Callithrix jacchus: one gene and its partners. The protein of the gene in region 2 purifies or fractionates together with the protein of the main gene of each other region. This does not show direct contact. Links are inferred from orthologs where the notes say so. Each region holds a gene or a part of one and is shown on either strand. Other genes may lie near its edges.

Evidence for each region.
Region 1: the proteins of tubulin alpha-1B chain (region 2) and CCT6A purify together in Homo sapiens (affinity purification with mass spectrometry; 3 studies listed by BioGRID and IntAct, counting the BioPlex papers as one, with this or other methods). This does not show direct contact. The link is inferred for Callithrix jacchus from reciprocal best matches to the Homo sapiens genes TUBA1B and CCT6A.
Region 3: the proteins of tubulin alpha-1B chain (region 2) and HDAC6 purify together in Homo sapiens (affinity purification with western blotting; 4 studies listed by BioGRID, with this or other methods). This does not show direct contact. The link is inferred for Callithrix jacchus from reciprocal best matches to the Homo sapiens genes TUBA1B and HDAC6.

Annotation. Positions count from the first base shown.
Region 1 is NC_133503.1:2,640,333-2,650,508, reverse strand, and holds the start of CCT6A (T-complex protein 1 subunit zeta), read left to right. Parts: upstream 1-3,585; 5' UTR 3,586-3,676; coding exon 3,677-3,813; exon of another isoform or gene 3,814-4,083; intron 4,084-4,234; coding exon 4,235-4,298; intron 4,299-7,736; coding exon 7,737-7,871; intron 7,872-8,415; exon of another isoform or gene 8,416-8,549; intron 8,550-8,670; coding exon 8,671-8,844; intron 8,845-9,341; coding exon 9,342-9,445; intron 9,446-10,176. UniProt on the Homo sapiens protein: Component of the chaperonin-containing T-complex (TRiC), a molecular chaperone complex that assists the folding of actin, tubulin and other proteins upon ATP hydrolysis.
Region 2 is NC_133510.1:70,420,701-70,431,023, reverse strand, and holds tubulin alpha-1B chain, read right to left. Parts: upstream 5,777-10,323; 5' UTR 5,682-5,776; coding exon 5,679-5,681; exon of another isoform or gene 5,272-5,678; intron 3,759-5,271; coding exon 3,536-3,758; intron 3,414-3,535; coding exon 3,265-3,413; intron 2,626-3,264; coding exon 1,645-2,625; 3' UTR 1,473-1,644; downstream 1-1,472. UniProt on the Homo sapiens protein: Tubulin is the major constituent of microtubules, protein filaments consisting of alpha- and beta-tubulin heterodimers. Microtubules grow by the addition of GTP-tubulin dimers to the microtubule end, where a stabilizing cap forms.
Region 3 is NC_133524.1:49,393,198-49,402,720, forward strand, and holds part of HDAC6 (protein deacetylase HDAC6), read left to right. Parts: intron 1-2,314; coding exon 2,315-2,441; intron 2,442-2,550; coding exon 2,551-2,616; intron 2,617-2,709; coding exon 2,710-2,769; intron 2,770-2,837; coding exon 2,838-2,927; intron 2,928-3,266; coding exon 3,267-3,373; intron 3,374-3,462; coding exon 3,463-3,530; intron 3,531-3,763; coding exon 3,764-3,932; intron 3,933-4,020; coding exon 4,021-4,149; intron 4,150-4,346; coding exon 4,347-4,515; intron 4,516-4,925; coding exon 4,926-5,059; intron 5,060-5,985; coding exon 5,986-6,054; intron 6,055-6,165; coding exon 6,166-6,358; intron 6,359-7,783; coding exon 7,784-7,933; intron 7,934-9,523.

The DNA of each region.
Region 1 (10,176 bases), on a different chromosome or scaffold from region 2:
AAAAGAATATGGGCCGGGCGTGGTGGCTCCCGCCTGTAATCCCAGCACTTTGGGAGGCCGAGGCGGGTGGATCACGAGGTTAAGAGATCGAGACCATCCTGGTCAACATGGTGAAACCCCGTCTCTACTAAAAATACAAAAATTAGCTGGGCATGGTGGCGCGTGCCTGTAATCCCAGCTACTCGGGAGGCTGAGGCAGGAGAATTGCCTGAACCCAGGAGGCGGAGGTTGCGGTGAGCTGAGATCGCGCCATTGCACTCTAGCCTGGGTAACGAGCGAAACTCCATCTCAAAAAATAAAATAAAAGTATAACACACCCTACAGTGTATTATGAATTGCCCTTTGTGTGGGTAAATGATTACATCCAGGCGTAAGTTTATAAATTCAGAAATCATTCTGAAAATTCAGAGTGTCCAGGGGTAACTGTGCTTGTCTCTAGTGTAGAACTAGAGGCGGGAGGAAGATTTAATTTTCACCACATGCCCTTTGGTGCCTTTTGAATTCAGAACAATTTCCATTATCTATTAAAAATAAAATACAGGCTGGGCACGGTGGCTCACGCCTGTAATCCCAGCACTTTGGGAGGCCGAGGTGGGCGGATCACGAGGTCAAGAGATGGAGACCATCCTGGCCAACAAGGTAAAACCCTGTTTCTACTAAAAATACAAAAAATAGGACGGCCTCCGTGCGGCCGAAGAGCGGATGGACTGGCGGGCAAGTGAGTGAGCCAGTAGTGTGAGGCGCCAGGCGAGGCCGAGCCACGAGTGACATGGGGGACCGGGAGCAGCTGCTGCAGCTGGCAAGGCTGGCCGAGCAGGTGGAGCGCTACGACGACATGGCCTCCGCCATGAAGGTGGTGACAGAGCCGGATGAACCTCTCTCCAATGAAGATCGAAATCTCTCTGTGGCTTACAAGAATGTAGTTGGTGCCAGGCGATCCTCCTGGAGGGTCATTAGCAGCATTGAGCAGAAAACCATGGCTGATGGAAAGGAAAAGAAATTGGGGAAGGTTAAAGCTTACCTGGGGAAGATTGAGAAGGACCTGGAGACAGTTTGCAATGATGTTCTGCCTCTGCCTGACAAGCTCCTGGTCAAGAACTGCAGTGATTTCCAGTATGAGAGCAAGGTGTTTTACCTGAAAATGAAAGGTGATTACTAGGGCTACTTAGCAGAGGGCGCTTCTGGGGAGAAGAAAAGCAGTGTGGTCGAAGCTTCTGAACCTGCCTACAAGGAAGCCTTTGAAATCAGCCAAGAGCAGATGCAGCCCACGCACCCCATTCGGCTGGGCCTGGCCCTCGACTTCTCTGTGTTCTACTGCGAGATCCAGAAGGCACCCGACCGAGCAAGCCTGCCTCTTAGCCACACAAGCCTTCGACGACGCCATAGCTGAGCTGCACACACCAAATGAGCGTTCCTATAAGGACTCCACGCTCATCATGCAGTTGCTGCGAGACAACCTCACCCTCTGGACGAGCGACCAGCAGGAAGAAGAAGCAGGAGAAGGCAACTGAAGATCCTTCAGGTCCCCTGGCCCTTCCTTCACCTACCACCCCCATCATCACCGATTCTTCCTTGCCACAATCACTAAATATCCAGTGCTAAACCTATCTGTATTGTTAGCACAGCTACTCAGATCTGCACCCATCTCTTGGGAAGCAGTTTCAGATAAATCATGGGCATTGCTGGACTGACGGTTGCTTTCAGCCCACAGGGGCTCCCTCTGTGAATTGTGCAGAGCGCTGTGTTCTGATGAGGCACTTCACTGTGCCTGTTGATCTATGGGAAATCCAGGCGAAAGTAATGCGGGGAGAGAATTAGCCAGCAGAGGCTGCCGTTGATATTTAAAAGATCCATTTAAAACAAGCTGATAGTGTTTGATTAAGCAGTACATCTTGTGCAGGCAGAAATGAATTCACCCCAGCCGGGCGCGGTGGCTCACGCCTGTAATCTCAGCACTTTGGGAGGCCGAGGCAGGTGGATCACGAGGTCAAGAGATCGAGACCATCCTGGTCAACATGGTGAAATCCCCGTCTCTACTAAAAATACAAAAAATTAGCTGGGCATGGTGGTGCGTGCTTGTAATCCCAGCTACTCAGGAGGCTGAGGCAGGAGAATTGCCTGAACACAGGAGGCAGAGGTTGCGGTCAGCTGAGATCGTGCCATTGCACCCCAGCCTGGGTAACAAGAGCGAAATTCCGTCTCAAAAAGAAGAAAAAAAAAAAGAATCATAGATTTATTTTTTGTAACTCTTTGGCTACTGTCCTTGTGTATCCTGACAGCGCCATGTGTGTCAGCCCATGTCAATCAAGATGGGTGGGTGATTATGAAATGCCAGACTTCTAAAATAAATGTTTTGGAATTCAGTGGGTAAATAAATGCTGATTTGGGAAAAAAAAAATACAAAAAATAGCTGAGTGTGATGGCGTGTGCCTGTAGCCCCAGCTACTTGGGAAGCAGGCTAATCGCTTAAACCCGGAAGGCAGAGGTTGCAGTGAGCCAAGATCGCGCCACGGCACTCCAGCCTGGCGACAGAGCAAGACTCCATCTCAAAATAATAAATACGTAAATAAAAATAAAAATAAAAATAAAATACTGGCCGGGGTGGTTTACGCCTGTAATCCCAGTACTTTGGGAGACCGAGGTGGGAAGATGACTGAAGCTAAGGAGTATCACTTGAGCTCAGGAGTTTGAGACCACCCTGGGCAACATAGTGAGACCCTGTGTTTACAAAAATGACACATCACGTGTTACCGAATCACTGGTATTTGGCAGGACAGTGGATACTGGGAACAACTGTGGAGCTCTTTGGAAATTTACCTTAAAAGGGAGGCCTCTCAAAGGCTGGACACCGTGACTCTACAAGGCTGTTTTCAAATCTGCCATGAGGACCCAGCATCTAAGCAGCATCCTGAGCCCTAACGGATGGACAGGTTCTGAGGTCTCGACACCCATTGCACCAGTTCTGCAGCTTTCTAAAGGCATCCGGCACTTTCCACCTTTCTATCGTCATCTTTGCTGGGCCTTACAGCACCGCAGGATCCCGGGGGAGGGTGCTTATCAGTCTCGTTTTGTGTCCCCATGGCACCTAGGGCACCGTCAAGCGCACGGTCCAGAAAGCGCCAATGAAAAGCATAAAAACAGCAAGGGAGCCGGGTGCGGTGGCTCTCGCCTGTAATCCTAGCACTTTGGGAGTCTGAGGTGGGTGGATCACCTGAGGTCAGGAGTTCAAGACCAGCCTGGCCATCATGGTGAAACCCCACCTTAAAAAAAAAAACAGCAAGGGAAGGAGACTGAGGGGCAGACAGCGCGAGTAAGGGCGGGAGAAGGCCCACCCTACGCCCTGCCCCCAGCGGAGCACAAGCCCAGCTTGCGTCCCGACCTCCTGGGTCCGCAAAGCCGGGCCCCACTTAACCGCGTGGACTGCCGGACCCCTCCCGTGCGCAATGACGTCCGGACTGCGGCGCGAGGGGTGGGACCTCAACCGCTGTACAGCCACGGACCAATCAGCGGGCGCCGGACGACCCTTGGCCCAATGACGGCGGCGCGCGGGCACGCTGGGGGCGGGCCGGGCGCGCCGACTTTTCCAGAAGACCCGGATAGTGCCTCCCGGCCACGCCGCGCCGGCTCTGAGCTTTCCGCACGCCGTGTCGCTTCCTTTTCCTTCACTGGAGCCGATATGGCGGCGGTGAAGACCCTGAACCCCAAGGCCGAGGTGGCCCGAGCACAGGCGGCGCTGGCGGTCAACATCAGCGCGGCGCGGGGCCTGCAGGACGTGCTGAGGACGAACCTGGGGCCCAAGGGCACCATGAAGATGTAAGGCGGGGCTGGCGGAAGGGCCGAGCGGGCATCGCGCGCCGCCGCCGACCTGGCGGCCCCGGGACCGCGGACTAGGGCCCCGCAGCCACCTTTTCCTCCGTCCTTCCTGATCGGTCCTGTTCCCTGCTAAGTCCCACCGTCCCGGCCATTTCTCCCTGCGTCGATGTCGTCTCCGTGGAGAACAAAGCGGCTCTAGTGCGCGGCGTTCCCCTCCCTCTGGGGCTTCCAGGCACCCTGAAGACTCGGCACAATCTCTGCTGGGACAGGGTGGGCACTGCCGTCCTCCTGCCTGCGGGAGATAACTGGCCCCCCTATCCCCGGCTCCCTAACGTCTGGGAAAAGCCTGTTTTCTAATGGGACTTTTAAATTTAGTTTTTGTTGAAAAATCAGTCTGATTCATTTCTTCCCCTTAAAACAGGCTTGTTTCTGGCGCCGGAGACATCAAGCTTACTAAAGACGGCAACGTGCTGCTTCACGAAATGGTGAGAGGTGCTCTGCTGGGTCAGAAAGGTCTTGATTTTCCGAACAATGTTTGCTTTGTAGAAAGATTGGCAATGTCCATTTTCAAGGCAGGAGAGCATTCAGAAGTGGCGTGTAATCCGTAATAGTGCTGCCAGTGCCTGGAGTGGGACAGCCCTGCCTTTGAATCTCTACTTTTTTTTTGCCATTTACAGTCGGAGTTAAAGGACTGTCATTGTATATGAAAGTTAATTATAAGAAAATTTGAAAAATGGAGTGGTGTTGACGTAATCACATGGGCAAGATGCTTAAGGGTGGTTTTTTTCTTTTCCTTTTTTTTTTAAGATGGAGTCTCACTTTGTCGCCCAGATACAGTGGAGGGGCGCAATCTCGGCTCACTGCAATGTTCGCCTCAAGGGTTCAAGCGGTTCTCTTGTCTCAGCCTCCTGAGTAGCTGGGATTACAGGCTCGTGTCAGCATGCCCAGCTAATTTTTGTTTTTTTATGTTTTTTTTTTTGAGACAGAGTCTAGATCTATCGCCCAGGCTGGAGTGCAATGGCGTGATCTCCCCTCACCACAACCTCCACCTCCTGGGTTCAAGCGATTCTCCTGCCTCAGCCTCCAGAGGAGTTGGGATTACAGGCACATGCCACAACGCCCGGCTACATTTTTGTATTTTTAGTACATATGAAGTTTCACCATGTTGGCCAGGCTAGTCTCGAACTCATAACCTTGTTATCTGCCTGCCTTGGCCTCCCAAAGTGCTGCGATTACAGGCCCGAGCCACCGCTCCCGGCCTAATTTTTGTATTTTTAGTAGAGACAGGGTTTCGCCATGTTGGCCTGGCTGGTCTTGAACTCTTGACTTCAGGTGATCTACCTGCCTCAGCCTTCCAGAGTGCTGGGGTTACCAGGTGTGAGCCACTATGCTTGGCCGGTTTTTCTCTTATGAAAATACCAATTTCTCGGTTACATCTGCATCTCCAACTGGAAGGGAGAGAAATCTGTCTCTCTGATTTAACATTTTAAAAGTCTGAGGAATGGAGAATATAGATTATTGAGGGGAGTATGCGTTTTACTCTTCCCTAAATTCCCAAAACTTAGCAATTCAAATCCAAGAAAAGGAAATTATTTCCTGCGGATTTGAGTTCAGAGTAATAGTTAAGGTTTTTCTAGTAGTATACCATGTCACCGATATCCAGCTGAAATATCTTTGTATGGACTTGCTGACTTAGGAGGTGGAGTTTCTGTTTTGCATTTTTTACCCAGATTTTACAACTGTACCTCCTAAAATGAAAGCTCAACAGCCTCCACTGTTACTCTGCAGTGACCAAATAATTTAAAAGGAAAAGTGAGGTGTGGTAACTCATGCCTGTAATCCCAGCACTCTGGGAGACCAAGGCAGGTAGATTCCTTGAACTCAGAAATTCAAAAGCAGTCTGGGCTACAGGGCAAAATCCTGTCGAGATTGTGCCACTGCACTCCAGCCTAGGTGACAGAGTGACAGTGAAACGGTCTCCAAAAAATATATATATATGTATATTAAATTTGGATTTTAGTGTGAGAAATACAGCATAAGTAGAGAGAAGCACATTGAACATTCACAATTCAAGTAATTATAGGCTGAGCATGGTGGCTCATGCCTGTAATTCTACTACTTTGGGAGGCCGAGGCAGGTGGGTCACCTGAGGTCGGGAGTTCGAGATCACCCTGACCAATGTGGAGAAACGCCGTCTTGGCTAAAAATACAAAATTAGCTGGGGGCATGGCGGTGCACACCTGTAATACCAGCTGCTCAGGAGGCTGAGGCAGGAGAATTGCTGGAACCCGGGAGGCAGAAGTTGCAGTGAGTCAAGAGCACACCATTGCACTCTAGCCTGGGCAATGGTAGCAAAACTCACTCTCAGAAACAAAAAAGAAAAAAGAAATAATTATAAAATGGACACAGGCACCACCACTGTAGCTAAGAAATAAATCGTTGCTGTCACCTCAGAATTCCCCTCCCACAACACTTCTCTCTAGTCTCCAGAAATCTGTTTTTCAGTTTTTTTTTTTTGAAAAAATGACAAACCTACAAAAGTGATAATTATTATTTTATTTATTTATTTTTGAGACGGAGTTTCGCTCTTGTTACCCCGGCTGGAGTGCAATGGCGCGATCTCGGCTCACCGCAACCTCTGTCTCCTGGGTTCAGGCAATTCTCCTGCCTCAGCCTCCTGAGTAGCTGGGGCTACAGGTGCACACCACCATGCCCAGCTAATTTTTGTGTTTTTAGTAGAGACAGCGTTTCACCTAGTTGACCAGGATGGTCTCGATCTGTTGACCTCGTGATCCACCCGCCTCGGCCTCCCAAAGTGCTGGGATTACAGGCTTGAGCCACTGCGCCCGGCCAAAAGTGATAATTATAATGTGTGTACCCTTTACCTAGATTCCCCTATTGTTTATATGTTGCTCCAGTTATTTTCTATTTTTCCCCTGAATCGTTTAAAAGTAAGTTGCAGATACACCATTTTACCTCTGAATACTGTTTTTTTGGCTTTTTTTTTTTTTTTTTTTTTTTTTTAAGAAACAGTTTTGCCATGTAACACAGGCTGGTTTTGAATTACTGAGTTCAAAGGATCCATCTGTCTTGGCCTCTCAAAGTGCTGGGATTACAGGTGTGAGCTACTACAAGTAACCTTTCCTTTTAAATTAGTTGGTCACAAAGAACAAAAATAAAAACAGGGCCGGGCGCGGTGGCTCACGCCTGTAATCCCAGCACTGTGGGAGGCCGAGGAGGGTGGATCATGAGGGCAACAGATCGAGACTATCCTGGTCAACATGGTGAAACCCTGTCTCTACTAAAAATACAAAAAATTAGCTGGGCATGGTGGCGTGTGTCTGTAGTCCCGGCTACTCAGGAGGCTGAGGCAGGAGAATTGCCTGAACCCAGGAGGTGGAGGTTGCGGTGAGCCGAGATCGCGCCATTGCACTCCAGCCTGGGTAACGAGCGAAACTCCGTCTCAAAATAAATAAATAAATAAAAATAAAAACGACAACAAAAAAATAAATTAGTTGGTCATTACAAAGTAATAGTGGAGGCTGTTGAGCTTTTATTTTTAGAGGTACTTGGCTTATTCTCACCAGAGCCCTACACTTGCCATAAAGAGGCAAGGATGTAAAATGTGTTACTGTTAACTGTTAGCTCTGTCATCTTGAGTAAACTTTTACTGAGCCTCAGGCTTCCTCATCTGTAAAGTAGATAATCTGGGAAATAAATTGCACATGAAAATGTTTTGATGGTTATAACTGCATGTGCATGATAGCTAATTGTGACTTTTTAATTGAAGTAACTTGTAGCCAGACACTTGGGTAGCTTTTTCATGTAGATTATACTTAGAGAGGCCCTTCGTGCATTTTGTTTGTGGTGTATTTAGACTGCTTCATATTGTTTTAAGTGCTTCCTTTTTTTTCTACTTTCAGCAAATTCAGCACCCAACAGCTTCCTTAATAGCAAAGGTAGCAACAGCCCAGGATGATATAACTGGTGATGGTACGACTTCCAACGTCCTGATCATTGGAGAGCTGCTGAAACAAGCGGACCTCTACGTTTCTGAAGTATGCACAACTCTTGTTTCTATATTATTTTACTGTATATGGGAAGTGTCTGATACTTACGTATACAAATGGAAGTGCTGTTAACAGTAGCTGAGGCCATACAGTAGAATTAGGGGGCTTAAATCTGGGCCTTTGTCTTGGTCTAAAACAAATGTGACCTTGGACAGGTTATGGAACCTTTCTTGGCCTGAAAATAATTTTGTAATCAAGTTGCGTTGCCTATGTGATTTGTTTCTTTCTTTAATGTAGATGAATAATTGCGATCTAAAAATGGGATGTTTAGGACTATGCATATTTATTTGTTACGAAAATGCCAACCAAAAGCCTACATTTGGATAAATTCCACTTTTTTAGCCCTGCCTAGTTCCAAGGTTAAAACAAACCTCAGTGAGTATGAATCTATTGTCAGAATTTCCTGGAAAAAGAGAGCAGAGAGTCTAGTAAATGATGTGAATTCGTTTGAGATTACTCCTAGAAAAGGTAGACTAATGCTGCCGTCTGTGGGCTGGGATGCAGTGTCGGTTTTGACATGATTCGGAGTGGTTTGCACAGTGAACACCCAAGTGTGCTTTATAGTTCCCTTGGCCTTGACCCTGTGCTAGAGCATTGCCTGTTCTTCTCCTCTGCATTGAAAGGAATGTTTATCCTTTTAAATGTATTCAGAAAGCCAGCACATGATATAACCTCGTGTTCAAAGGTATGATGATCCAGAGTATCCCTTCAAACATTACCTGAACTTTATCATGAACTATAGTTGCAGGTAATTGAAGATGAAAGTGTTATTGTGTGTTTGTTTTAGGGCCTTCATCCCAGAATAATTACTGAAGGATTTGAAGCTGCAAAGGAAAAGGCCCTTCAGTTTTTGGAAGAAGTCAAAGTGAGCAAAGAGATGGACAGGGAAACACTTATCGATGTGGCCAGAACGTCTCTTCGTACTAAAGTTCATGCTGAACTTGCAGATGTCTTAACGGAGGTGTGCATGAAGTTTTGTCTGTGTCTGTTATAGTTCACCTGTAGCAAATCTCTGATAGTAGAAACATGAGTATACTTACCCATTCAATTCTAAGGCGCTATGTAGGTTCATTTTTGTGGCAATGATACCTAATCTGTGTCTCTAAACTGAAATGAGGAAATTCAAATAATAGTATACCTAACGATAAAAGTAAAACTGGAGCTTCCATTAAAAGGTTTATAAAGTGGAGATTTTGTTCCTGCAAAGCTTCCGGTTACCAGTGTTTTTAGTAAAACAGGAATGTTAGTGATTCTCTGGAAATTACAGATTGAGCTTTCAGAAATGTCAATGACTTCAGTTGTTTACAAGTAATGTATTCTCTCTGCTCATAGAAAAAGACTTAGACCAGTGCAGAGGTTATGAAATGAAGGGACTGTCCGCTTCAGCCTTCTGAAAAGCAACCTGTTTCTACTGCTGCAAACTGGGTTTGCCTAATGGTTATGCTCCTCCTGTTACAGGCTGTAGTGGACTCCATTTTGGCCATTAAGAAACAAGATGAGCCTGTTGATCTCTTCATGATTGAGATTATGGAGATGAAACATAAATCTGAAACTGATACAAGGTAGGTAGTACAATACTATGAAATACTAATGGTCGGGTGTGGTGGCTCACACCTGTAATCCCAGCACTCTGGGTGGCTGAGGCGGGTGGATCACCTGAGGCCAGGAGTTAAAGACCAGTCTGGCCTACATGGGAAACCCCCGTCTCTGCTAAAATTACAAAAATTAGCTGGACGTGGTGGCAGATGCCTGTAATCCCAGCTACTCAAGAGGCTGAGTCAGGAGAATTGCTTGAAACTGGGAGGTAGAGGTTGCAATGAACTGAGACTACACTATTGCACTCCAGCCTGGGTGATAAGAGTCAAACTCCATCTCAAAAAAAATAATAATAAAGTGTGTTTAGAAATTTAGGGGTGCTAGCTGGGCGTGGTGGCTCATGCTTGTAATCCCAGCACTTTGGGGGGCCGAGGCAGGCAGATCACAAGGTCAGGAGTTTGAGACCAGCCTGGCCAACACAGTGAAACCCCATCTCTACTAAAAATATGAAAATTAGCTGGGCATGGTGGTCGGTGCCTGTATTCCAAACTACTTGGGAAGCTGAGGCAGGGGAATCGCTTGAACCTGGGAGGCGGAGTTTGCAGTGGGCCAGGATTGCGCCGCTGCACTGTGGCCTGGGCAACAGAGCTAGAATACATCTCAAAAATCAAAAAGGAAATCTTAGGAGTGCTTTGTACAATATGTATTGTTGGCAAATTTTTTAATGTCTGGATATGAAATAAATATCTATCTGAAG
Region 2 (10,323 bases):
CTAGTCTCAAACTCCTGGGCTCAAGTGAACCTCCTGCTTTGGCCGAAGTGCTGATGTTACAGGCGTGAACCACCATGGCCAGTTGCTTCAAAATATTTTCAATCCAGTTAGTCAAATCTAGATATGGAACCCACAGATAGGGAAGGCCGACTACATTTTGTGAATTTATAGGATTTATGAGCAAAACAAACAACTGGGAAAATTGTAGTCTTCCTTTTTTTTTGAGACGGAGTTTCTCTCGTTACCCAGGCTGGAGTGCAATGGCGCAATCTCGGCTCACCGCAACCTCCGCCTCCTGGGTTCAGGCAATTCTCCTGCCTCAGCCTCCTGAGTAGCCAGGATTACAGGCACACGCCACCATGCCCAGCTAATTTTTTTTATATTTTTAGTAGAGACAGGGTTTCACCATGTTGAACAGGATGGTCTTGATCTCTTGACCTCGTGATCCACCCGCCTTGGCCTCCCGAAGTGCTGAGATTACAGGCGTGAGCCACCATGCCTGGCTTTTTTTTTTTTAAATCATATTCTTTCAGTCTTAAACCAAGAAGATATCAAGGTCTTCAGCAGCCATAATTGTTCTTGTGCTTTCTGGATTTGAAATCTACATTTTCTCATAGGTTAAATCCTCTATTTACATTCTCTGTGCCTACAAGTCCATTACGTGTATCCACAATACTTGAATATAAACCATGCCAAATGCTATAAACTTGTATCCTTTTACAAATGTTGCCACTTTATCTTCATGTACTGCAGACTTCTGCCACCAATGCATACAGCTTCTTGTCTGCTCGTTGACCACCGTGAATTCTGGTCCTACAACTTTTTCCTATCACAATAGGGCTGCAAATACTCCTACAGCCGTTTTCCCAGGACATTTGTCAACAAGGCTAGAGTGCAGTGTTGCAGTCACAGCTCACTGCAGCCTCAACCTCCTCAGCGTCTCAAATAGCTGGGATTATAGGTGCTTACCACCATGCCCAAATTTTTGTACATTTTTGTAGACAGGGTTTCATCATGTTGCCCAGGCTGGTCTGGAACGCCTGGGCTCAACTACCTGCCTTGTCCTTGTGCTAGGATTACAGGCGTTAGCCATCATGTCCTGCCAAGGATCACTCTTAAATTTCCTAATTACATTAACAAGGTTAGCCAGCCACTTTAAACAGCAATTTACATGATACTCAAAAATTACTTATACTTCCTATGCAAAACCCATTAGCAACTACCCATACTTTGAAAAGCTAAATGAGCTCTATAACTTTCATGTGTTTCCCCACCCCCTAAGCAAGGTTTGAGGTGGTAAACAGAATCTAGGGCTCCTGCCTTTCCAGTTCCCTGAGCTCCCTTTTCCCTACAGTGGTGCCTGCACAGAAGTAGGACCCTTGACATTACCAGAATATTGCAGACTCTTTACTCCAAGTGTAGATGAATCCCAAAAACTAAGGCACTTTTAGAAAAAACACAGGAGACAAAGCTTTTGAAGTTAATGACTTTACTTTGAGACATGATGGAAAAACTACAGGTACACATGGAAGACATGGTAACTGAGTGAAAACAATCTAACCAGAAAGCTTTAATGCCTGTCAGCTAAGTTGAAGCTGAAATTCTGGGAGCATGACATGCTGCAGGGCCAAAAGGAATGGATAATTAGTATTCTTCGCCTTCTTCTTCACCCTCTCCTTCAACAGAATCCACACCAACCTCCTCATAATCCTTCTCAAGGGCAGCCATGTCCTCACGGGCCTCTGAAAACTCTCCTTCCTCCATCCCCTCACCCACGTACCAGTGAACAAAGGCACGCTTGGCATACATCAGGTCAAACTTGTGGTCCAGGCGAGCCCAGGCCTCAGCAATGGCTGTGGTGTTGCTCAGCATGCACACAGCTCTCTGTACCTTGGCCAGGTCTCCACCAGGCACCACAGTGGGAGGCTGGTAGTTGATGCCAACCTTGAAGCCAGTGGGGCACCAATCCACAAACTGGATGCTGCGCTTGGTCTTGATGGTGGCGATGGCAGCATTGACATCTTTGGGAACCACGTCACCACGGTACAACAGGCAGCAAGCCATGTATTTACCATGGCGAGGGTCACATTTCACCATCTGGTTGGCTGGCTCAAAGCAAGCATTGGTGATCTCTGCTACAGAAAGCTGTTCATGGTAGGCTTTCTCAGCAGAGATGACAGGGGCATATGTGGCCAGAGGGAAGTGGATGCGGGGATAGGGCACCAGGTTGGTCTGGAATTCTGTCAGGTCAACATTCAGGGCTCCATCAAATCTCAGGGAAGCAGTGATGGAGGACACAATTTGGCTAATAAGGCGGTTAAGATTAGTGTAGGTTGGGCGCTCAATATCGAGGTTTCTACGACAGATGTCATAGATGGCCTCATTGTCTACCATGAAGGCACAATCAGAGTGCTCCAGGGTGGTGTGGGTGGTGAGGATGGAGTTGTAGGGCTCAACTACAGCCGTGGAAACCTGGGGCGCCGGGTAGATGGAGAACTCCAGCTTGGACTTCTTGCCATAATCAACTGAGAGCCGTTCCATGAGCAGGGAGGTGAACCCAGAACCAGTTCCCCCACCAAAGCTGTGGAAAACCAAGAAGCCCTGGAGACCGGTGCACTGGTCAGCCTATTACAAAAGAGAGGAACAGAGGAAAGATTAAGTTTTTGTTCTTCGTAGTACAGTCATAGTAAATATATTTTCATTTTTCACATATCTCCCAGGACTTAAATCTTATTTTAACAAATGCTTTTTAGAAAATTCTCATTAACATTTACAAAATGACACAAAATAGTTCATTTTAACTGAATTTTTAAAACCCCAAAGGAATAACTCATTCCACTCTTTACTAAAATAACAGTTCAATTCTGTGTTTAAAAAAAAGAACAAACAGCATTATGGCCGGGCGGGGTGGCTCATGCCTGTAATCCCAGCACTTTGGGAGGCCGAGGCGGGTAGATCACGAGGTCAAGAGATCAAGACCATCCTGGTCAACATGGTGAAACCCTGTCTCTACTAAAAATACAAAAAATTATCTGGGCACGGTGGCACGTGCCTGTAATCCCAGCTACTCAGGAGGCTGAGGCAGGAGAATTGCCTGAACCCAGGAGGCGGAGGTTGCAGTGAGCCGAGATCGCCCCATTGCACTCTGGCCTGGGTAACAAGAGCGAAACTCAGTCTCAAAAAACAAAAAAAATCCCCAACAAAACAGCATTATTTCAAATGTCCTTTTAAGGCAGATTAATTTACTTTATTCTTGAAACATACCAGTTTACGAATTCGGTCCAACACGAGGTCAATGATCTCCTTGCCGATGGTGTAGTGCCCTCGGGCATAGTTATTGGCAGCATCTTCCTTGCCTGTGATGAGCTGTTCAGGGTGGAAGAGCTGGCGGTAGGTGCCAGTGCGAACTTCATCTGGAGGAGGGACAGGAGGACAGAAGGACTGGGTGAGTGAGCGAGTAACCAGCAGATCCCCCAGGACAGACCTCCTGTCCCAGCACCCTGGGATCTCACTTGGGTTACCGAGGCCAACTCACCAATGACCGTGGGTTCCAGGTCTACAAACACTGCCCGGGGCACGTGCTTGCCAGCACCCGTCTCACTGAAGAAGGTGTTGAAGGAGTCATCTCCTCCCCCAATGGTCTTGTCACTTGGCATCTGGCCATCGGGCTGGATGCCATGTTCCAGGCAGTAGAGCTCCCAGCAGGCATTGCCAATCTGGACACCAGCCTGGCCAACGTGGATGGAGATGCACTCACGCTGTGGGAGAAAAAAATACATCACAACTTAATCTGTTGGTGACTGTCAAGTGAAACAAAATACTCATGCAATCTTTATTTTTAGTGATAAGTTCTGTTGCTTAGGTTTGAGTGCAGTGGTGCCGGTTCATCGCAGCCTCAACCTCCTGAGCTCAAGTCATCCCCCATGCAATCTTTATTTTTAGTGATAAGTTCTGTTGCTTAGGTTTGAGTGCAGTGGTGCCGTCCAGGTTCATCGCAGCCTCAACCTCCTGAGCTCAAGTCATCCCCCTACTCCAGCCTCCAGGGCAGCTGGGACCACAGGCACAGGCCACCACGGCTGGCTTATTTTTTCTTTTTTGGAGGAGATGAGTCTGGTTATGTTACCCAGGCTATCACATAATCTTAAAAAAATTTTTTTTTCTTTTTTAAAGCGACATAAGATGTATTACTCTTTTGAGAACAGCTACATTATAGGGTCTATATCGCTTTTAACGCATGTTACCTTCCCATTAATAAACGGGGAAGGCCTTCTTCCAGATCACGACAGCTTAGTCACAGCTTCCTCCTTTGGAGGACCAAGACAGGAGGGTGGGCATCCATCCAGCGCTCCGGCCCCAGAATCCCACTTTAGATTGAGTGGCCACATTTCCGGGCAGCTCCTAGCACAGGAAAAGCACGTGGCCAGACCAGCGCAGAAATGTCTGTCCGCAGGGACAAGGGGTGGGGCTATGCGGCACAGGATGAATGAGCAATTCAGGGCGCGCGCTCCCGCGCCCCCCGGGGGCGCTGCAGAGGCACGAAATGGCCACGTCTGCAAAGGCGCTGCCCAGGCTGCCCATCCTCCCTTGCCTGCCGGCATCGAGCTCAGCCTAACACCTCCACAGCAGTCTGAGCGCAGTAGGGGATTATCGGCGGCCCAGATCTGAACCAAGATCCGATTTCCGTTCCCTCAAAATCCCTCACTGGCACCACCTGCTCCCCAGAATTCCCAACGCAGCAGGGAGAGACAGGTGGCCTCTAAAGGCTGTTGTGAACTAAGTGTCCTAATACACTGGTGTAGTGCGGTACACTTCCTCACATTCCTCTTATTGCATTTTTTAATTTTTATTTTTTGAGATGGAGTCTGGCTCTGTCGCCCAGGCTGGATTGCAGTGGCACGACCTCTGCTCACTGCAACTTCCACCTCCCAGGTTCAAGCGATTCGCCTGCCTCAGCCTTCCGAGTAGCTGGGACTACAAGGCGTGCACTACCAAGTCCGGCCAATTTTTGCATTTTTAGTGGAGACAGGGCTTCACCATGTTGGCCAAGCTGATCTCAAACTCCTGACCTCAGGTGATCCACCCCGCCCGGCCCCTCTTACTGCTTCCATTTAAAAAAAAAACCCTCAGGTCAACAAGAGACACGCCCTGAAGCCGTAGTCGCGCCGCCACCAGCGCGCATGCGCAGACCGCAGTGGTGGTTTCCCGCCCTGCAGCGGCGGGAAGGTAACGGTCGCGCGTGCGCGCTTTTGTCTCCAGCGCCTTCCCACCCCCGCTTTTCGCGATCAAGAGGAAGTGAGGGCTAGAAGAGTCGGCGCGCGCGTCCACCCAAGGCGGGGGAAGGGCATGCGCTGTAAAGGACTGCTGGGACTCGAGGTGCCGCGCCCAGGACAGAGTTACGCGCTAAAAGAGAGCTCCGGATAAGGCGGAGGGCTGAGCCCTCCCATCCCTTCCAGAGTCTGAGAAGAAATCCTGGCGCCCCTCAACCTTTCCGGGCCCCCGCCATTTACAAAGACCGAGGTCTCACGACTCCGGATCTGGCATCTCGTCCCGCTTGCCGCCCTTCAAACGGACGGCTCTGGGGCCAGCCTTCCCCCGCTGTATACAGGCTCCCCCACACCCCGCCGACTCGCGTATCCCTGCTGCCCTGAAAGCGGCCGGCAGCCGCGCGGCCCACTCACCATAGTGGCTAGGGATTAGGAGGCGAAGGCGACAGGAGGAGACACCGGGTCCCGGTTACCGTCCCCGACAAGCTAAGAGTCGAGGTAAGTAACGCACTGGGGCGGGGCGAGCGCTGGAGCCTCTTAAGTAGTGGCTGCGGAGGGGCGGGCGGGCACAGGCGGTGCCGCGGCCGGGAGCCCCTCCTCCGGCCCGGCGCGCCCACTCGGCGCCAGGCCTGGCCGCCGCAAAGGCGGGCTCCAGCCCCGAGCCCCCTCCCCTCGCGTGGCCGCGGGGCGGGGTCCGCCGCGCCTGCGGGCCGCGCGCGCCAGTGCTGCAGTGTGCGGCGCATGGCTGCGAGGGCCTGGCGGGGGGGCGGGCGCGAGTCGGAAAGACACCGATCGCGGAATGGGCGAGGAGGCTTGCCTTAATTCGCAGGAAGCCTAGGACTTGGGAGAGCCATACAATTTGAAAGATGAGGCACCGTGAAATGCAGAAACTTGTGGTTCGGATAGCTCAGCTGATTAATTTCATGTTGCCACTGTTTGTGAGTTTTGCCTTTTTATTTTCTCAGTTCGTTCTGTGCTTACCTGATAATGTGAAAAACACGAGCTTTAGAAAACCGAGTAGGTGTACTTGGTTTACTGTAATGACTTGTTCTCGAAAGTTAGGGTACCAAACGCTGGAGGCAAATAATATTTCAGTCATTCGAAGAACAGTGCCCGAGCATTTAACATTGAAGCTGTTAAAAGGGCAGAGTAGGCCCGAATTTTGGATCGAAGCCATCAACTTTATGGAACAGTCCTAGGGGCTTTTTGAAAAGGAGATTTAAAAACACATTTCAGAGGTGATAGCCGAGTTAAGGAAGTGAGAAAAAACTTGGATAGGGAGGAAATAAATGGACACTGAAGGATGTTAGGAAGTAGGGATTCCTTGTGCAACTTAGAGTTTTGTAAATAAGACTGCTTGGCCTTATGTCAAGATACATCAGTTGGTTATAGCTTAGCGCTTGGAGGCCTACGTTATAGTAGACTAGTTCTCCCTCCGCCCCGCCCCTTGAAAATCTATTTCAAGACCATAAACCACATTGCTAATCCTTGGAAATGCAGAAGAAGGTGGTTAGGTTTAAAATGTGGCTTTAAAATGGTCCTAGCAGAAACCTATTGATGTTACTATTCAAAATATCTGCCCAGTATATAGGAAACAAAAAGGTAAAACCTAAAACACTAGAAATTCATAGTTCATCTTCAGTTATTAGCCTATTAAGATTTGGTAAAGCCTTCATCCTTCATTTCAGACAAATAAATTTATGTGGTTAATAAGTGTGTATTTTGTAATGAGTTATGTGTGTGTATGTGTGTGTGTGTGTGTCCACCCATCTGAACTTGACCTGCAAACCAGGAGGTTCTTGTTTATTTCTGGTAAATATTTTTGATAGTCTTATTAAAGGCATTTAATTCAAAAATCCAAATTTGCACACATTTTTCCAGCTGAGTAGAGAAGGCTGGAATGTTTGAATATTGAATATTCAATTCAATATTCAGTTCTCACTTATTTTTTCCTCTTATTCTTTAAAAAAAAAATTAAGCCAGTTAAATTTAGAAGTGGGGGGTTGTATACCAATTTTAGTGACACTAATGTTAATAAGTTCTGATAACCCACTCCCATTGGACCACCCCCATTGTTACTTTTTCTTAAAAGGAGTCTGAAAATAATTAGTTTGCTTTAACTGGAAGAACGAATGTTAGGGAACCACCCTGCTGAACTCCATTTTGCTGTCAGCTCTGGATAAAAGCTATTTTATCCAGAAAAGCTATCTCTGTGCAGAAATTTTGAATAGTTTAGGAACCAAAATAGGTTTCTAGACATTCTGAAGCCACCCTTCTACCCTAACCACCTTACGTATTTCCAAGGATTAGTGATGTAGTTTATGCTCTTGGAATAGATTTTTCTGGGGGAAGGGAGAACCTCCCTTGTAGCTCTCTGCAGATTATCAGAGTCACTACTGCAGGGATTTGCTCCTGTGGGCCTATATGTCTCCCTAGATACCTTTCTAAAATTATTAGCTTTGTTATCTCTGTATTCCCCTGTAGTGAATAAGGAAGTATTTTGTTTTTGTTTTTGTTTTGTCCTTAATAATACGTCAGATTTCACAGAATAATCAAAGTAAAAGAGAACTTTATTTTTTGACCGAAACTCTGTATCCAAAAAAAAAAAAAAAAACAAAAAACCATATGTTGTTATTCAGTATTTGAACATCTGAACATTTTGTTGTCTAAGGAGTTTGTTCTTGCCGGCATTATTAAACTGCTTCCTTAGCTGTGAACACTGTATGACTGTGGGTTGTGTCTGGAAAGGAATATGATTTGCTAGTTGTTTTTGTTTTTTTTTTAATTAGCTTCTCATTTTCTTATACTTGCCTCAGTTTCCTCATCTAGTTTTAATATGGAATTGATTTTGAAATTGTGTTACCCAAGCTCTTTTTTTTTTTTTGATAAGGATTCTCACTCTGTCGCCAGGCTGGAGTGCAGTCGTGCGATCTCAGCTCACTGCAACCTCCGCCTCTTGGGTTCAAGCGATTCTCCTGCCTCAGCATCCCGAGTAGCTGGGACTATAGGCATGTACCACCATGCCCAGCTAATTTTTGTATTTTTAGTAGAGACAGGGTTTCACCATGGTTGCCAGGATGGTCTCGAGCTCTTGACTTTGTGATCTGCCCATCTTGGCCTCCCAAAGTGCTGGAATTATGAGCTGTGGTGCCTGGCTTTTTTTTTTCTTTGAGACAGAGTTTCACTCTTGTTGCCAAGGTTGGAGTGCAGTGGAGTGATCTCGGCTCACTGTAACCTCCACCTCCTAGGTTCAAGCGATTCTCCTGCCTCAGCCTCCCAAGTAACAGGGATTACAAGCACCTGCTACCATGCCCAGCAAATTTTGATATTTTTAGCAGAGAGGGGGTTTTACCATGTTGGCCAGGCTAGTCTTGAGCTCAGGTGATCCTCCCACCTCGGCCTCCCAAAGTGCTGGGGTTACAGGCACGAGCCACCGTGCCTGGCCAAGTTACCCTAGCTCTTATGTTCCTGTTTCCCTAACATAATACCTCCTCTACTTATGAGAGAACTCCTAATATTAAGGGGAGATGAAGGTCATTTTTTGTAACTTCTTCCTGCTGAGAGTGGACATTGATCTTTGGGATAGGATTCTCTCATAAGGATTTGCAGTCAGCTTCACGATGTTCTGATGGTTCTTTTCTTTGTTCTTTTTTTTTTTTTTTTGGACAAAGTTTTGCTCTGTTGCCAGGCTAGAGTGCAGTGGCATGGTCTCAGCTCACTGCAACCTCCACCTCCCAGGTTCAAGGGATTTTCCTGCCTCACCTTTCTGAGCAGCTGAGAGTACAGGTACACACCGCCATGCCCAGCTGCTTTTTTTTTTTTTTTTGACACAGAGTCTTGCTCTGTCACCAGGCTGAAGTACAGTGGCGCAATCTCGGTTCACTGCAACCTCTGCTTCCTGGGTTCAAGTGATTCTTCTGCGTCAGCCTCCCAAGTAGCTGGGACCACAGACACGTGTCACCATGCCCAGCTAATTTTTGGATTTTTAGTAGAGACGGGTTTCACCATGTTGGCCGGGATGGTCTCGATCTCTTGACCTCGTGATCCGCCCACCTCAGCCTCCCAAAGTGCTGGGATTACAGGCGTGAGCCACCGCACCCAGCCTAATTTTTGTATTTTTAGTAGAGACAGGGTTTCACCATGTTGGCTGGGATGGTCTTGATCTCTTGACCTCGTGATCCACCCGCCTTAGCCTCCCAAAGTGCTAGGATTACAGGTGTGAGCCACCACACCTGGTGATGTTCTGATGATTCTGTGGGCATAGCCCTGCCCAGTATTGGAGAAGTAAAAATCTCTGGATGTCTGATCTGTGGTACCTAAAGGCAGGATGTCTGTATTTCTCAGGTTAGAAGATGGTATGGGTTGGAAGCCTTCTGCCAACATAATCTTTATGTGGGATTGTTGTAATCTAGTAGACACAAACTTCACCAAAGTGTTAAACAAGCAAGGGCCAAAGACTAGTAATAACAAGATAGCGATCAAAGGTCCTAGGAAGAGGAAAAACCAGTTGAGACTCAGGAGGGTGCTTTTTTTTCCTTTTTCTGTTTTTCTTTTCCCCCAGGTAGGGTCTTGCTATGTTGCCCAGGCTTGATTGAACTCCTGGCCTCAAGTGATTCTCCTGCCTTGGCCTCCCAAAGTGCTGAGATTACAGGCCTGAGCTACTGAGCCTTGTCTAACCTCTAAATCTCTACTTTTATAGGAGGTTTTTTTTTTTTTTTTTTTTTTTTTTGGAGACAGTGTCTTGCTCTGTGGCCTATGCTAGAGATGGAGAGCAGTGGTGTGATCATGGCTCACTGCAGCCTTGACCTCCTGGCTGAAGCTATCCTCCTACCTCAGCCTCCCAAGTAGCTTGGACTACAGGTGCCCAGCTAATTTTTGTATTTTTATAGAGGACAGCCATGTTTCCCAGGCTGGTCTCGAACTCTCCTTGCAGGCATTATTAAGCTGCTTCCTGTGGGGCACAGTGGCTCACACTTGTAATCCCAGCACTTTCGGAGGCCAAGGCGGATGGATCACCTGAGATCAGGAGTTCAAGACCAGCCTGGCCAACATGGTGAAA
Region 3 (9,523 bases), on a different chromosome or scaffold from region 2:
CTGGGGTTACAGGCATGAGCCACTGCACCCAGCCTGTGGGTACATTATTGACTACACACACAGATGTAAAACATTGTGAATATATTCAGTACATTGTTCCTTATGAACAAAAATGTATAAACAAACAAAAAAAAGCATGTCCATGCTCTTAGGTCTCCCAGCTCCACATCTCTGTCTCTGAATTCCAGCAGCAGGGAGACAAACTAGGCAGCCCTTAAAATGCTGTTGTGAAGACAAGGAAAACAGATGATCTAAAACTAAGTAGTTAAAAGAAAGAAGTGGCTGGTGCATTGGTGATTCAGTGAATTGGCTCTTCAGAAGGGGTTTTGTGTGCATTGACCTGGATCTGTACTGGATTTCTCTAGGAGGGAAACTTCAGTTTATCTTTGGTGCCCCCTTCTCTGCATGAGACAGAGCACCCTGGGGCCCCTGGAATCTCAAATTCTACTTTCTAGAAATTCACTGAAGTCTCTTATTCTCTGACATCCTTTCTTCCACTCTCTGTCTTTTTGGGTTGCTGTTTATTTACAATATCTTTACTGTATTTTGACCAGAGTGGTAGGAGTGTAAGGAGGTAAACCCGTACTATCAATCCACCATTTAATTTGAAGGTGTATAAACTTATTTTAAAATTCCCTTCTGTTTCTTTATAAACGTAGCTTCCTTGAGTGCTAGTTCTGCTCTTTGTTGATTCTGATGGCTCTCTTTTAGAGTCAGCTTTCTTCAGATCTTTTCTTTATTCCTGTCTTCCCCTGATGATAATTTTTTTCTTTTTCTTTTTCTTTTTTTTTTTTTTTTTTTTTTTTTGAGACAGTCACACTCTGTCACCCAGGCTGGAGTGCAGTGGCCCCATCTTGGCTCACTGTAACCTCTGCCTCCCGAGTTCAAGTGATTCTCCTGCCTCTGCCTCCCAAGGAGCTGGGATTACAGGCTCACACCACCATGCCCAGAAAATTTTTTGCTATTTTTATTAGAGATAGGGTTTTACCATGTTGGCCAGACTGGTCTCGAACTCCTGGCCTCAAGTGATCTACCCACCTTGGCCTCCCAAAGTGCTGGGATTACAGGTGTGAGCCACTGAGCTCGGCCCCCTGTTCATAATTTTTATGTCCTACTGTGCTTCTCTTTCTCTTATGATTAACTTACTAAAAGTTTAGAATCAAGATTTATCTATCAATGTCAAAAATAAAACAATCATCCTTCACCCACTCAAGACCAGAGCTTTTCCATGTTTTTATTCCCAAATTCCAAGATCTTTTCCCTCAATTTTAAGAATCTTTTTATATCACTTGCATTAAATTTTACAACTACATTATCAACACATTAAAACGTGATTCTTAATTTGTTTAGATACATTGCATACCACTATTTCTTGGATTTCCTTAAAAAAGCTGCCTTGGATCCTCTCTGGGACAAGGCAGGGGTAAATGACCAGATAGAAGGAGAGATGGATGATAGATTATTCGTTTTGCTTTCCACAGTCAGAATTAAGCCCTCCCATGGCCCCTTGCTGGGCATTCTGTCAAAGCATGTGCACTGCATCTTTTCAGTATCTGTTTTGCGTGTTGATCTCACCCCTCTTAAGTGCTTGCTGGTTCACCTGTAAAATAAAAGAAGTAGTAGAGGTGGCCTGTAAGGCACTGGGGAGAGGGAACTGCCCTCTCACTGGCCTCATGGCAGCCCCAGCCAGTATCCCCTCTCCAGTTTCACCCACAGAAGCAAGTCTCACCCCTACCCCCCAGGTCTCTCCACTTCCTTCTAGAGAATCACCCAGCTCCTGCAGCCTGGCTTGAGGTTCTTTTCAGCCTTAGCTGGCTCCCCCCAGCTAAGAGCCCCATGCACCATTTGAGCCTCCAGTGTCACAGAGTTTGACCTGCTGTTACTGCCTTGGTCATAGGCGCATATGGTGGGTGAACATGATCTAGAGTACCCCACAGAGTCAGGAGCCCCCAGGATCTGGGATAGACCCTAGAGCTGAGCCTGAAATTGGGTGGGCACTGAGGGGGCAGTGATATTTGCTGAGGGAAAGGTTCTGGTGAGAGACTAAGTGAATGAGTGAATGAGGTAACAGATAAATAAGGGGAAAAATGAATAAATGGTAAGATGGGTAAATTGGTGACTGAATATAAGGGTAAACTAATGGAAGAATGGATTCATGTATTATATATTAATGGAGAAATTAATGAATGAGAGAATGAATGAGTCGTTGAATGGGGAAATGAGTGGTAGAGGAAATTAGCAACTGTTGGGTTGAGGGTGTCTATGGGGATTGACTCTTCTCCAACTCTCTTACCTCTTTTTCTTCTGCCCCCAGTGTCCTCTATTTCTCCATCCACCGCTACGAGCAGGGTAGGTTCTGGCCCCACCTGAAGGCCTCTAACTGGTCCACCATAGGTTTTGGCCAAGGCCAAGGATATACCATCAATGTGCCTTGGAACCAGGTCAGTATCCACTTACCCTCTGCCCCCAAAGTGAGGCCCAGCCTCGCCCTTCTGCCTGTGGCTCAGGGCAGGTGGCTGAACATCCCCTGTCACACTCCTGTGTCTGCAGGTGGGGATGCGGGATGCTGACTACATTGCTGCTTTCCTACACGTCCTGCTGCCAGTCACCCTTGAGGTCCTGGGGGTCTGGGGTGTGTTGAGGGGAGGAGAGACCTTGAAAGTTGGGCCATGAGGGCAGGTAGCCTCATGGAGTACATTCCCCCCTCAGTTCCAGCCTCAGCTGGTCGTGGTGGCTGCTGGATTTGATGCCCTGCAAGGGGACCCCAAGGTAAGGCAGGCTCCCTGGGGCAGCAGGTGGGCTGCATGGAGCCAGGCTGACCCTCCATGTCCCCCCAGGGTGAGATGGCCGCCACTCCAGCAGGGTTCGCCCAGCTAACCCACCTGCTCATGGGTCTGGCAGGAGGCAAGCTGATCCTGTCTCTGGAGGTGAGTGACTCACCTTTGTCCCTCAGCCTGTGGATCCTGGAGGGCTTAAGAACGAAGCTTTCAAGTCCAACAGGAGTTCCTGGCCGAGCATTTCACTTACTAGCTGGACAGCCTTGCATAAGTCACTTCACTTCTTTGTGTCTCCGCTTTCCTTCTGTAAAACGAGCATAATAATGGTAATCATCTCATATCATTGTCCAGTGAATTCAGTGAGGTCCCCTTCTAAGTTCCTTGTTGCTTGACATTTGGTATGCACTCTCTTATTATTATCATTATTATTATTATTCCCTGGTAATTTCTGGTCCTTTACTGACCCCCCTTCACAACTCCTTCCCCCAGGGTGGCTACAACCTCCGCGCCCTGGCTGAAGGCGTCAGTGCTTCGCTTCACACCCTTCTGGGAGATCCTTGCCCCATGCTGGAGTCCCCTGGTGCCCCCTGTCGGAGGTGAGCCCAGGTGGAGGAGGGGAAAGCAGGAGCCTCACTGGCTGCCCACGTTTCTTTGCATCATATTTTCTTCCTGTCCTGCCCTGTAGTGCCCAGGCTTCAGTCTCCTGTGCTCTGGAAGCCCTTGAGCCCTTCTGGGAGGTTCTTGTGAGATCAAGTAGGAAGTGGGGAGTGGGCTTGGTGGGGGTGGGCATAGGATGAGCCCTGGGGGAGACTTCAGACTTCCTCTGACTTTCTTAGGCCATCTTGGTGGGAGAGGGTCAGGCCCTCTGTCTCCCTGGGCCCTGGTTTCAGACCTCCCACCCTTTTTCTGTTTGGGTCACCTGAGTTCCAGAGTATGACGGGGATTCAGATTGAGAGGGTAGGATGAACGTGGCCTCCCCCTTATAGCTGATACTGTGGAAGGGGACAACGTGGAGGAGGACAATATAGAGGAGAGCGAGGATGAAAGACCCTGGGAGCCCCCAGTGCTTCCAATCCTGACATGGCCGGTGCTACAGTCTCGCACAGGGCTGGTCTATGACCAAAGTATGATGAATCACTGCAACTTGTGGGACAGGTAGGCAGTTGGAGGGCTGGGTGAGTAGGTGTTGGGGATTCCTCCCTCTCAGGCACTAAGCCCCTACCTCTGGTTCCCCCACCGCTAGCCACCACCCTGAGGTACCCCAGCGCATCTTGCGAATCATGTGCCGTCTGGAGGAGCTGGGACTTGCTGGGCGCTGCCTCACCCTGCCACCGCGCCCCGCCACAGAGGCTGAGCTGTTCACCTGCCACAGGTCAGACCCCAGTGTCTAGGGTGGGTGGGTTCCCAGGACTGTGGAGGAGGTCTCAGGGATTGGAGCTTGGAGTTCCTCCCCACTGGGGAGCTGCTACAGGACTTGAAAGGAGCTGAAGTTCCTATCTTGGGGGTGGGGCTCAGGAAGGGGACGAACCCTCCTCACTGTCTTGCTGGTGCTCCTCTCTGTGCCTCCAGTGCTGAGTATGTAGCTCGTCTCCGGGCCACAGAGAAGATGAAAACCCGGGAGCTGCACCGGGAGAGTTCCAACTTTGACTCCATCTACATCTGCCCCAGCACCTTTGCCTGTGCACAGCTTGCCACTGGCGCTGCCTGCCGCCTGGTGGAGGCTGTGCTCTCAGGAGAGGTGCGTGCTCTGTGGGCTGGGAAGAGGAGGACCTGAGGGAGAATAGAAGAAAAAGGGTCACTTGCTGTTTCTGAAGGCTCTGAGAGAGTCAAGCAGTGCCTGAGGAAAGGGGCCATGGGGAAGGGCACGAGAAGGGGCAGGCCTAGAGGCTGGGGACATAATGGAGGGAACTGGAGAAAGGGAAGGGAAGGATGGCCAAGTACGGTGGCTCAGGCCTATAATCCTAGCAATTTGAGAAGCCAGGGTGAGCTCAAGAGGTCAAGGCTGCAGTAAGCCATGACTGTGCCACTGCACTCAAGCCTGGGTGACAGACAGACCCTGTGTCAAAAATAAAAATAAAAAAGGGAAGCAAGGAAGGAGGACAAGCTTGAGGGCAGGCTGTCCAGCCTTAGCACCCTGCTGCTCCCTAGGTTCTGAATGGTGCTGCTGTGGTGCGTCCCCCAGGACACCATGCGGAGCAGGACGCAGCTTGCGGTTTTTGCTTTTTCAACTCTGTGGCTGTGGCTGCTCGCCATGCCCAGGCTATCAGTGGGCATGCCCTGCGGTAAGGACTCCCTGTGGACCCCCAAATCCTGATCCTTGTGGAGATCTGGAAGCTCCCCCCACCCCATTGCTTACTCATCATACCCCATGGTCCAGCTCCTAGGACTTCCCCAGAAAGAAGTAAGGGTGCAACCTTTACCCAGAGAAGGACCGAGGATGGAGCCTCTCAGTACTTATTTAGATAGGGCCCCCAGATCGTGTCACCTGGGTGCTTATAAAACAGGATCCAGGTCTGGGCACAGTGGCTCACGCCTGTAATCCCAGCACTTTGGAAGGCCGAGGCAGGTGGATCACCTGAGGTCAGGAATTCAAGACCAGCATGACCAACATGGAGAAACCCATCTCTACTAAAAATACAAAAATTAGCCAGGCGTGGTGGTGCATGCCTGTAATCCCAGCTACTCAGGAGGCTGAAGCAGGAGAATCGCTTGAACCCGGGAGGCGGAGGTTGCAGTTGAGCTGAGATCATGCCATTGCACTCCAGCCTGGGCAATAAGAGCGAAACTACATCTCAAACAAACACACACCAGGATCCAGGGTCCCACCCTAGCATTTCTGGCCTATAGAAGCTGTCTCGACAGAACCCAGGTCCAAGCTCCCGATGCATACTCCAGAAGACCCAGAACTCAGCCCCCAGCATTAGCTGCCCGAGGTCTAGGTCCAGTTCCCTAGCAATGACCCAAAAGAGCCCAAGGTCCAGTTCCCTAGCAATGACCCAAAAGAGCCCAAGGTCCAGCCCCAAGCACTTGCTCGGGTCTACGAGACAGCCCTTGGGACCCCAGGATCATACTTTTCTCCTTAACTGACAGGACCCAGTGTCCTGCCACTCCACACTAAATATCTCTGCAGACCCCAGGGGTCTAGCCCAGCCCTCTTCCACGGGGTGAGTATCCTAGGTTACTGAGCTTCTGCCTCCTTCCTACCCAGGATCCTGATCGTGGATTGGGATGTCCACCATGGTAATGGAACTCAGCACATGTTTGAGGATGACCCCAGGTAAGATGCTGCAGTCAGGGGCTGTGGTGTGGTCAGGGAGATGGGTGAGCACCTCAGGGGTATTGGAGCCCCTAACCAGCTATGGCCCCCTTCCCACCCCCTCCCCGGCAGTGTACTCTATGTGTCCCTGCACCGCTACGATCATGGCACCTTCTTCCCCATGGGAGATGAGGGTGCCAGCAGCCAGATCGGCCGGGCTGCAGGCACAGGCTTCACCGTCAACGTGGCATGGAATGGGCCCCGCATAGGTGATGCTGACTACCTAGCTGCCTGGCATCGCCTGGTGCTTCCTATTGCCTACGAGGTAAAGCTCAGTGTAGATCTCAGGATGTATGTGATACACCTGTGCAGGTGGCAGCCTGGGCCTGCCTCCTCAGCATGTGTGCGTTTGACTGCCAGGTGGCGGATCATATGAGACAGCCCAAGGGTGACTAATGAGGCTACTGGGGCAGTTGATGACTGTGATTACCTTGTGTGTTTGACCACACAGGTGGCTGTACAGGACTGCCTTCTCTGTGTGACACTGTGTGAGTGACTGTCTTGCCTGTGTGTGTGAGGGCCTTCTGGCTATGCAGCAGTGGCCTGTGTCCTGGCTGGATCTGTGTTGTATATGTGTGCTATCACAAGTTCTTTAGTATGTGTGTGCAATTCTGTGCAAGTGGGTATTTCTCACCACCTTTTCTCTGTGCGATGGATGTGATATTGTATGTCACTAAATGCAGCCATCTCTATGACAGCCTGTATGGGACCCTCTGGATGTGGAGGGCTGTGTGTGACAGCAGTCACTGTCTGACTGTCTGCCCTGGCTGTTTGTGTATGTGTCTCTGACTGGGAGGTAGCTGCCTTCCCTCTGTGTGAGCTGTGGGGCGGGGGGGTCAGTGGCTTGTGTATGGCTGACCCTGGGAGGGAGGGGAAGGAGGTGTGAGCACTGCTCTGTCACCCTGGGTGCCAGTGTGCATCTTTGGATCTGCACGTGCATCTGACTATGCATGGGTGGCCAGGACAGCCTTCTGTGTGTATACAACTGTATGTGCAAGTGACCAGCTCTTGTGGACACACCAGAGTGCATGTGGCTGTTGTGGCTGTGTGGTGATGGCATGTGTATGATTGTGACTGCAGGATGGCTGTGGGTTATTGTCCTTTTTAAGAAACTATGTATGTATGTGTGCGCATGACTAGTGCAGATATGTAGTACTGTTCTATATGGGACTGTCTGTGTGGGATTACACGTGGCTTTGTGTGACCATCTTCTCTGTGTGTGGTGCTTGCGTTGCCATCTTCTGTTATGGAAGTGTGTGAGCACCCCTCTTTGGCACTATGTACATAAAACCCTGTATCTTGTGTATGTGTGTCCCACGTTTGACCCTGGGGTGTGTGTGTGAGGACATGTCTCTGTCTCTCCATTTCTCATGTCAGTCTCTTGACATCTGAGTCTGGTCTCATGACTCTGTCTCATGTCCCCATCTGTCCATTTTTGCTGTCTCCATGTTTCTAGATCTGCATCTGTTTCTTCTATCTCTGAGTCTATATTTCTCTTCTTCCTCTCTTCATTTTCAGTCTCTGCTTTTGCATCTCCCAGTCTTCAGGCCCCGTGTCTCCATCTCTCTGATTTGCATCTCCATGTCTTCATTTGTCCTTTTCTCCATCCATGTCTCCTTGTCACCACCACTTACTGCCTACCAAAAGCCCTTACCCTCATGCTTATACGTCTCTTCTCTCCCTGCCTCAGTTTAATCCAGAACTGGTGCTGGTCTCAGCTGGCTTTGACGCTGCACGGGGGGACCCGCTGGGGGGCTGCCAGATATCACCTGAGGGTTATGCCCACCTCACCCACCTGCTGATGGGCCTTGCCAGTGGCCGCATTATCCTTATCCTAGAGGTAACTCTCTCTTGGTAACCTTTTCCCACAGTGGGAGGGTAGTTTGGGAATCTTGGCACTATCATTCAGTATAGTTTCCTAAAATCTCCTTTAAGTGTCCCTGCCTGGAATTGTGGGCACACACTGGGTAGTAATTGGGTAATAATAATAAGAATAACAGCAACATTAACAGCTTTGAGTGCTCACTGTGTGCAAAGCACTCTTCTGAGCACTTCATGTATCTTATTCATTTAGTTACTTGGCAAAGCAGCCTTATGAGGTAGGGTTAGCTTTTCCCCTCTCAAGATCAGGGAAACTGAGGCACAAAGAGGCGTGATGACTAGATGACTGAAAGAAATGTGCCTGAGATGGCACATTTACTGATGGCAGAACCAGGACTTGAACCGATGCAGCGTGGCTCCAGGGTTTGTGTTTTTTACTGTTACCTGAACTGACTCTAACAAGTTCCTGGGACAAAGAAAATTCACTGACCTTTGTAAGTGACTCGGTATCCCCATGCCCTGTGCCTCAGTTTCCTCATCTTTATGAGGCTGGCTAATCATGGAGGAGTGCCTGGCATATAGTAAATGCTGGATCTGGTAGATCTGTTTTTTTTTTTTTAATTGAGACAGAGTCTCGCTCTGTCACCCAGGCTGGAGTGCAATGGCGCAATCTGAACTTACTGCAGCCTCCACCTTCCAGGTTCAAATGATCCTCCCACCTCAGCCTCCTGAGTAGCTGGGATTACAGATACCCATCACCACGCCTGGCTGATTTTTGTATTTTTAGTAGAGATGGGGTTTCACCATGTTGGCCAGTCTGGTCTTGAGCTCCTGGCCTCAAGAAATCCACCCACCTCAGCCTCACGGAGTGCTAGAATTACAAGTGTGAGCCACCACACCTAGCCCCTGGTTACTGTTATGCATTGTTCAGATACTAACCCGCTCAGCAACCTTCTGTGCTGTTATTTTCACTACTTTACAGATGAGGAAAATAAATCACAGAGAAATTAAGTGGCTTGCAAAAAGTCCCACTTACCATGTGCCCAGTACTGTTTGTGACAGGGCATGGTGGGAGTTAAAAACACAGATGACTCCATCAGAGAGCCAAAGTTCAAATCCCAGTGCTGCCTCTACAGCTGTTAGGACCTCAGAAAAGTCATCTAACCACTCCGAGCCTCAGTTTTATTTATTTATTTATTTTTTTGAGATGGAGTCTCGCTCTGTCACCCAGGCTGCAGTGCAGTAGTGCAATGTCAGCTCACTGCAACCTCCACCTCCCTGGTTCAAGCAACTCCCCTGCCTCAGCCTCCGGAGTAGCTGGGATTACAGGTGCACACCACCACGCCCGGCTAAGTTTTTTGTATTTTCAGTAGAGACAGGGTTTCACCATGTTGGCCAGGCTGGTCTCGAACTCCTGACCTTAGGCAATCTGCCCTCCTCAGCCTCCCAAAGTGCTGGGATTACAGGCGTAAGCCACTGCGCCCAGCCTTTTGCCTCAGTTTGTCTGTAAAAAGAATAGCAACTGGGATTCCTGTAGAGTGTAAAGAAAGTCAGAACAGGAGTCCATATGGAGAGAGAGTCCGTTGTTCCTGTACTAGATCAGGGCAGG